Regions from separate parts of the Mus musculus genome. Here region 1 is reported to be linked to region 2. The links are microRNA targets in miRTarBase. Many come from high-throughput screens and were not tested one by one. Region 2 holds a microRNA gene; the other region holds the end of a gene's coding sequence.

Evidence for each region. Region 2 holds the annotated microRNA mmu-miR-693-3p (GCAGCUUUCAGAUGUGGCUGUAA, at 1,716-1,738, opposite strand). A microRNA usually pairs through its seed, bases 2 to 8, with sites in the 3' UTR of a target mRNA and lowers its output. Matches are read on the target gene's strand: a 7mer-m8 pairs with bases 2 to 8, a 7mer-A1 pairs with bases 2 to 7 and ends in A, and an 8mer does both.
Region 1: the mRNA of Tmem65 is a reported target of mmu-miR-693-3p. Seed matches in the 3' UTR shown: 7mer-m8 at 1,508-1,514.

What each region holds. Positions count from the first base shown.
Region 1 is chr15:58,780,854-58,785,223 of GRCm38, reverse strand. Tmem65 (transmembrane protein 65) reads left to right here. Exons shown (of 7, transcript NM_175212.4): 7 at 214-2,955. The coding sequence ends at 315. Among named protein-coding and RNA genes, the nearest start is that of Gm41329, 23 kb to the right of the region's middle.
Region 2 is chr17:46,228,926-46,233,318 of GRCm38, reverse strand. Mir693 (microRNA 693) reads right to left here and starts at 1,788; the gene lies at 1,700-1,788. Xpo5 (exportin 5) reads right to left here. Exons shown (of 32, transcript NM_028198.3): 19 at 3,908-4,007; 20 at 2,939-3,120. It overlaps Gm22474 (a small nuclear RNA gene), which reads left to right and starts at 488; the gene lies at 488-594.

The DNA of each region.
Region 1 (4,370 bases), not on the chromosome of region 2:
TTTTTTTTCTTCTGTTCCTTTAAATTTTAAAATGACGTGTTCTTGAACATTTGGTAGCTTATTTTAATACGTAGGTTTCTGTAATCAATAGGAATACAGTTGTAGTGGGAATTACATAGTGTATGGCAGTGGGCTGTTGTCATCAGTCTGTAAGCAAGGATACCTCTTTTCGGGACATGTAATTTTAAGAAGTACTCTCTTCTGTTTCCGTAGGGCAAGGCTGTTGGGGTGACGATCGGCTGCATTCTAGGAATGTTCCCGTTGATTTTCTTTGGAGGAAGTGAAGAGGATGAGAAACTGGAAACAACAAATTAATCACCTTAGAACACCTATAAGAAGATGTAAACTAATGTACCTCATCATTAACTATACTGTCCCCACAGTTAGCAGTGAAGACAGTAGCAGTGTATAGATACGGGATCAAATAACTCAGCATGTACTATGGAAACACTAACTTATTGTGGCTTGGTCTTCTTAAGACATCTTTTTAAACTTACTTAGTATCATTTTATGTAAATTGTTGATGCTTTCCATCAATGGCAGTCGACATGTCATCTTTTCCTTCTCTGTGTATCAAGATATTATTTAACTTTCAGTCACTGATACTGTACTGTACTGTACTGTTCTGACTTGGGTTTGCATATTTGTTACATAACATGCACGGGAATACCTATTTATGGTTTTATTTTTATTTTTCCTATGGTTATATCAATGCTGCGGTTTCTCCAAATTATTTAAGATGTTTAATATCAGTTAACATTTTAACTCCCTGTCTGGTGGTATTACTTCTGTGTTAATTCACAGTGAACATTTACAATCATATAAATTCATTCAATTTTTAACCTTTCACATCTATCCAAAATGAAGCAGTGTTTTAAGTATGTCTGATTCACTTTAATTTTGAGCCATGCTGTGTTAAGAGCCAGAGGTTAATCGGATGGAACAATTCTCTGGCCTCCCTTTTACACAAACCATACATGCTAACAAGTGTACTTATCTCTGATTGGCTCTTTACCTTTAATTTCCCAACTTTGAACAATCACACAGTGAATTCTGGTTTGTGAGAGAAAGGCAGTGCTTGGATATGTCCGGTCTCTTAAAATAGGGATTAAGAGAGTAGGGAAAACTAAGAAATTTATAATGACATTTGGAAATTAGGCTAAAATAATTTTTTTTTTATAGAAAATGGAAATTTTCAAGGAGGTTGTGTGGGGTGGATGATAAAGTTCCAGTGCTGCCGGGAAGGTTCAGGAAGCATCAGTTCTATGGCTTTGGAAAGAGTTTCCCCTGATGTGTTGTCATTGTCTCATGGAACGGAAGGAGCCAAAATATCCCATGCTTAATCCTAATCTCATTAGATCTTGCTTTGTGACTTTTTTCTGGATGAATATTTTAGAAACAACATGTATTTTCTAGTTTGCTACCTAGTCTGTAACACAAGGAGAGGTCCTTTCTCCCTTTGGTGGATGGTTTTCTTCTTTCGTGGTGGTTATGCACACAGTTGGTGAAAGCTGTGTGTGTGTGTGTGTGTGTGTGTGTGTGTGTGTGACAGCTGTGTCCTGTGTCTGACCTGAACACCGTCCTGAGAATCCCGAGCTTTAATTGCTGAACTGCCCCCCCCCTTTATCTCATTTGCTCTACATGTTAAAAAGTTATATGTAGCAGAATAATTGGACATGTGGAAGAGAGAAACTGAAGTTAGAATTTAATCCTTGGGGAATTAAAATTATTCATGTTTCCTAAGTAGATGGAAAAGATGAACTTCACGTGACTATGCTTTCTAAATCTTATTTTGGAGTTTTGTTTGCACATAATTACTTTGGGCTCCTTTTAAAGAAAATTTCTTTTCCATAAGAAAGCATGTCATATATTGTTTTCTTTGCACTTTGTCCTGTCCATTTATCATAGAATTTAAGGAAAGATAGCATAAAAGTAAAAAACATCAAATTCTCATATACACAAGTAATATTCTCCTTTGGTCAGGCTAGCATCACATGACTTGAGGTGGCAGACAGATTCATCTTTGCTCACATGTCCCACGACAGCAAGCACAAGGTTCCAGGTGAAAGGCTAGAATGCACATTTTACTTTCTGTGTAGACATGTGAGTGCTCTTTCCTTCCCTTGTGTATCGGTGGCATGTCCTGTCTTTGTTTGTCAGTGCTGTATTGTGGTGCTTAACTCTTCTTTGTATTAAATACCATCTCCAGAAACTTGTCTTGGAGTTTAGAAAGCACTTTGGATTGTTGATTTTTTTTTTCTTTCTCTTGAAAAAGCTCCTCGTCCTTATTACCAGAATTTCTGTTAACAGAATTATGCCAGTTTTGTTGAAAACTTCACTTATGGGAGGTGTAACTTTCACACGAAAGACATGCTAATTTTCAGTCAAAATTTTTGAATCATATTTAATCAATAAAATGCTTTCAATCATTATGATACTTCGTTTTCAAAAGCAGACAAACAAAATTAAAGTCTCGTTCTCTCGAGCTCTGGCTCTGACCTAACATGGTACTTTGCACAGTGTGATTTCTGAAGGTGGCCCCTTTAAGTTAAGGACTCCATACCACCCGTGTTGAGCGTTTTTCACCACAGAGACTCTGATGCCAGCTGAAACTGGACTGCCCTCTTTCTCATAGCAGCTGTTCTCTATCAGCGTTAGAGCTGCAGCGGACGGCATCGTGCGCTGCTGTAGTCCTGTCTGTTCAGAATCCATGGTGTTTGTGTATTATGATTTATGGACTTGTTGATGCATGTAAACTGGGTGCATTCTGTTGCCTCTGTATGTTAAATAGTGACCAATGTTTTTACGAAAGAATTGAACAAAAAAATATCTTTTAAGACGTTTGGAATGTGGTTTTTGATTTTAAAATTTGGTTTTCTTATTAATCTCAGAGGCGCTGGGTTATTCTATGACAGAAGGAAACAGGATCAATGAATAAATGCAGGTTTGTAATGACGCGGCTTCTGTATCTGCCCTCTTAGAGCTCCCACTGATGTGAACCCCATGGAGTGTGAGAGAAGGATGATTCCATGAAACAGCTGCGAACGAGCGCTAGGCCTTCCAGCCCCAGAGGCTGCTCAGGCTGCTCAGTTCACTTCAGGCTTTGTCTCCATGCAGGGCACTGTGAAAGCAGTGGAAGGGTTAAAATTTACACTGCTCCTTGGTCTGATCTCACTCCTCCCCTAACTCCTCCCAGGCTCCTTTCACACCTGACTTTGAGCCCCTACCTCACCCCACCCCACTCACCCTCACCCTCCATCCCACCAAGGCCAAGTTGTGCTGCCAAATAGTCCTGGCTGAGTGGCCTTCCTCTGGAGTGTGGCTGGCTTGTCAGGGCTGCTATACTCTTAGAGAAAACTGACCCTTCCTTTCTCACAAATAACAAAAGACAATACAAGCTTCTGTCTGACACCAAAAGTTTATGTAAGCTGTTTTGAAGCAAATCTGCCTAGTTTTAGAATTCCACATTATTTATGGACATTTTTACTGTGCTGTATTTTGTTTTGAAATAAAGTACCTGGGGATAGAATTATAGTTTTTTCATCCCCACCTCTTTTGAGGTGCTCTTCTGGGAACAATTGCTTAGTCTGCTCCCCCCCCCCCCAAGTTGTGTAGATTTAGAAAGTGAATTCCCATTCTTACCATGAATTATTTGAAAAGATAGGAAATGTGTTTTGGACTCCAGTGGCAGTAACATCATTGCCTCCCTTTTTATTACCATTGCTTTGTTGCTCTGTGCTGCAGTGTTTCACACATCTTACCACGGTGAATCCCAACTGCACTGTTGATGCAGTTGCCTTATTTTATGTTGGGTAAACTGAGGCACAGTGAAGACACAGCATTATCTACCTGTGGGCTTGAATTAGCTGTGTCCATGTATGCTCCTTATGATCTTACTCGATAGGACATCATTCTTACGAACGTTGTGTTATCTGTTGTTTTAATAAAGAAATTCACGTTCTTTTTACAAAGAAACAGTTTTTCAAAAACCAATTCATTTTCTCATCTATAACCTATCAGATCTTGTTGGAAATCTCAAGCTCTGCTTGATAAATTCTGTCAGCCTGGTTACATTCAGTGTGCTAGCAGCTGTTTAAGGAACTAATACCTACTGTTTGTCTGTGAGGTGTTTTCGCTTTTCTCCTTTTCTTGACACAAAGTCTCACTATGCTGGTACCAAACTTAGGGCATTTCTTTCACCTCTGTTTTTGAGCGCTGGAGTTAGAGGCCTGTACCACCAGACTTAGTGTCTCTGTCTTCATGAAGCTTATTCTGTTGGGAACATAGGTGGGGGGAAAAGAACATAGAAATAAATGCATGCTTAAAATGTTAGCATGCACAGTACAGATAGACATCTGTGCAGAGAAGTG
Region 2 (4,393 bases):
GGGGCTGTCTCGCTAGTTCAGTGGTTAAAAACACTGGCTGTTCTTCCAGAGGACCTGGGTCCACTTCCTAGCACCCACATGGCAGCTCACAACTGTCTGTGACTCCAGTTCCAGGGGATCTGACAATTTCACACAGGTATACATGCAGTAAAAACACCAATGCACAAAAAAAAGGACAAGGTCTTGAACTTGTAGACCAAACTGGCCGTGACCCCACAGATACCAGCCTGACTAGTATTAAAGGCATGTGAAACAAGCCCATTTGTTTTGGGTTTTTCTGAGACAATATTTTGTGCCCAAGAGTCTCCTGCTTTAGCCCCAAGTGATCTGATTATATGTGCTGGAAATGGCTTTGCAGTATACCTGCCTGCTGTTTTTACTTTTAATTAAATGTGATCATAAAAACAAACAAACAAACAAATACCCTAGGCTGGGTATGGTGACGGTTGGGAAGTAGACGGTCACAGTGAGTTAAAGACCAGCCTGGGTGCTCACTTCGGCAGCACATATACTAAAATTGGAACAATACAGAGAAGATTAGCATGGCCCCTGTGCAAGGATGACACACAAATTCGTGAAGCGTTCCATATTTTTAGGAAGACCAACGTGTGGATACTTCATTCCTCCCTAGAATACGGAATAAAATATCCATGGAAGGAGTTGCAGAGACAAAGTTTGGAGCTAAGACAAAAGGATGGACCATCCAGAGACTGCCCCACCCAGGAGTCTACCCCATAATCAGCCACCAAACGCAGACACTACTGCATATGCCAGCAAGATTTTGCTGAAAAGATTCTGATATAGCTGTCTCCTGTGAGGCTAGGCCAGTGCCTGGCAAATACAGAAGTGGATGTTCACAGTCATCTATAGGATGGAACACAGGGCTCCCAATATAGGAGCTAGAGAAAGTTCTCAAGAGCTGAAGGGGTCTGCAACCTTATAGGTGGGACAAAAATATGAACTAATCAGTACCCCCAGAGCTCATGTCTTTAGCTGCATATGTAGCAGAAGATGGCCTAGTCTGCTATCATTGAGAAGAGAGGCCCCTTGGTCTAGCAAACTTTACATGCCCCAGTACAGGGGAACGCCAAGGCCAAGAAGTGGGAGTAAGTGGGTAGGGGAGCAGGGAGGGGGGAGGGTATAGAGGACTTTTGGGATAGCATTTGAAGTGTAAATGAAGAAAATATCTAATAAAAAAAAGTGGGGGGAAAAAAACAGAATAAATTGACCTCTGTGACAATAACACAAAGTAATAAATGTCTGTAAACATGCAAAAAAAACCAAAAACAAAAAAACCCAAAAAACCAACCAAACAAACAAACAAAAAACCAGCCTGGATTACCAAGAATAAAATCTACTAGCCCAAAACATAATTAAAAACAGAAAAGGGGAGATGGCTTAGAGAGCAAAATGCTTGCTATGCCAGCAGTGCTGAGTGTACAGAAATAGACACAATCAAGGATTCTCTGGTCAGCCAGTCTCGCCAAACTTCCAGGTGTAGGTTCAAGTCGAAGACTGTGTCTCAAATAATAAGGCAGAGAATTAACAATGGAGATACCCTGACATCCGTCTCTGGCTTCTGCATGCACCCCTTGTCAGTGCACCCCCGCCCCCAATCTCGCCAAGGGCTGGCGGTACACTGCTTCAAAAGCAACAAAAAGAAAGAACCAAAAACTTTCCATCATTCCTGTATGCCGTTGCTGGGAGCATGCTCATTACAGCCACATCTGAAAGCTGCCCTAGCCAGGAAAACTTTCGGATGTGGCTGTAATGAGCATGCCTACAACTCAGGATTTCTACCCTCCCGTGTATAACCAACAAGAATATGCAAATATCTTACAAGTACACTTTCAAGATCCTGAGAGTAGCTTATTATTAAATTTACTGTATGCGTGTTATCAAAATTCTGTCCAAAAGCCCACCAGGATCAATAAGAAACAGCACAGCCACATAGCAGGACACCACATAGACGGGAAGAAGAAACAGACCCAGCTACACATAACTCATGGCTCCCACACCATGATGTTGAGCAATAGAAGTCAGAGACCAAGGACTGCACGTTTTTTAAATGTTTCACTTCTATAGTTTAAAAGTATCAACAAGCCTAGCCTGAGCACCTCTCATGTGAGCAGGTCAGTTCCTGTGACCTAGGGTGACGCTGCTGACTCTTCCATGTGTACATGAAACTCCCAGGTAGCTTGTTAACATTTACAGTCTGCAGTGCGTCCCTAATTCTGCTTTTTGAGCAAGGGCTCAGGTAGCTGCTGATGCCACAGGTCTCACAGTGAAGGCTGCACAAACTGAGGTGACAGACATCCTGCTCTCCTCTGGCTTGCTGAGCCATCGGATGCTTGGCCTACATGAGTTCAGTCATTGGTGAGAAATTCTACTAGTGCACATGGACACCATCTGGAGAAACACTACTACAGAAACCAACTGTCCCGCTCCCAACAAGCCGTTTCCTTCCTACTAAAAATTTAGACAAAATAACCTTAAAAGTAGGTATAAGCTGTAAGGAAATAAGAGAGGGCTGGGATGTACCTCAGTGGTACACTGTGGCCTCGGATGCACAAGGCCCATGTCAGTCTCCAGCAAACCAACAATAAAAAACTGCGCACACCTTTAATCCCAGCACTGGGGAGGCAGAGGCAGGCCGATCTTGAGTTTGAGGCCAGCCTGGTCTACAGAGTGAGTTCCACGATAGTCAAGGTTACAGAGAGGCCCTGTCTTGAAAACTAAAACAGGATACTACAACACTGTTATGCCTATGGAGAGAGCACACCTCACACAGGGAGGCCAACTGTCCTTAGAAAGATGAGCCTCCCTCTCAAAAGAGTCAGGACCTAATCCCACACCACCAGTGCAATGAGAAAGAGAAGATTAGAAACTTTTGAGATTCTTAAGGCTAAAATAAGGACAAAGACTATCTCTGACTCACCTTACAAGGGCAAGCAAATTGTCGAGAAGTCTGAGGATCTGCTCTGTGCAGGGGTTACGGAAGATGGGATTTCCACTGGGTGTGTAGCCCACCACAAAGCCCCCAGCTTTGGCTTCTTCTAGGTCGGAAGGCCAGCTAGTGCGTCTCATAACCCCCAGGATGCTGTACACACAAAAGCTCATCTAGAGAGAAGAAGGAAAAACACAGCCGGGATAAGGGGAGAGCACTGAGACACACATGCAGGGGGACAGCGCAGTGTCACCGACAGAGACGGGGAAGAAGCCTGTGTCTCCCACCCCAGCGAGACCTCAGTCCTTGTCCTTATGGTCCAGTCCAAGGGAGGTCTTCTCACTGCCGTTTCTCAGGACCCGTGGGAGGAAGCTCTGGAAGCTCCCTTCTCATTAGCATGTCTTTCCAGGGGTTTAATGACCCTGGGGTAGGGGTGGTTTGGATGAGCTCCACCACCAAGTATTTAAACTGCCATTTTTTTTTTTACCTGACCCTCCATCCAGGACTCCACAGCCTGCATCCTAACCCCCAACCCCTCATGCCAGGCTGGTCATGTGTCTTTCACCGTAGTGGCTTATCTGAGCACCGGTGCACTGGAAGGCCTCAGGGTCTCAAGATTTGGCCATCACCTAGGACTTCACATGCCAGCGAGCAATAGCAGGGGGGACTCACCCTGCCACCAAGTCTGACCTACTTCCTCATTACACCTCCAGTCTTCCGAGCTACTTAGGGATCCTTAAAGCCAAAATAATGACTTCATAGAAAAGACCATCTGCTCTGTTGTGAGAACTAACTCAAGAATTCAAGACTAAAGAAGAAAAGAAAGGAGAAGCTTAGGGCAGGAGAGACTCTTGGGTCTCTCAGCAGTACAGACAAAACAAATCTGAGAAACTTGATCAATGAAACACCCTAACTCCTGCCCGTGGCCAGTGAAACTTCCCATTCCCAGGAGAGTCTTACTCGTGCACGGTTCAAGCCACATGGATCCTCCACAGCTGGGTCACAGCTTTTCAGATCAGCACCCACATAGGCAATGAAGGAGTCAATATCTGACAGCGCTCTGAAGGGAGGGGAGGAAGAAAAGTTCTATCATGATCTTTGTTTAGACAGAGATTTACTTTCTTTTCAGCTAAGTGTATGTGCATGTCTGTGTGGGGTATGTATATGAGTACAGGTGACCTCAGAGGCCAAAAGAGACCATGGGTCCCCTGGAGCTTGTTACAAGCGGCTGTGAGCAAGTCAGCCTGGTGTTGGGCACTAACTCTGGTTGTCTGAAAAAGCAGTAAGCTTTATTAACCACTAAGCCATCCCTCCAAGCCCCTACCGTCATGATTAAAAAAAAAGAAAATGGGGGGAATGTGTGCTTGCATCTATGTATGTCTGTACACCACACAGCGCACAGTTCTTAGTTCCTCAGGGACCAAAAGAGGGCTCTGGATTCCTTGG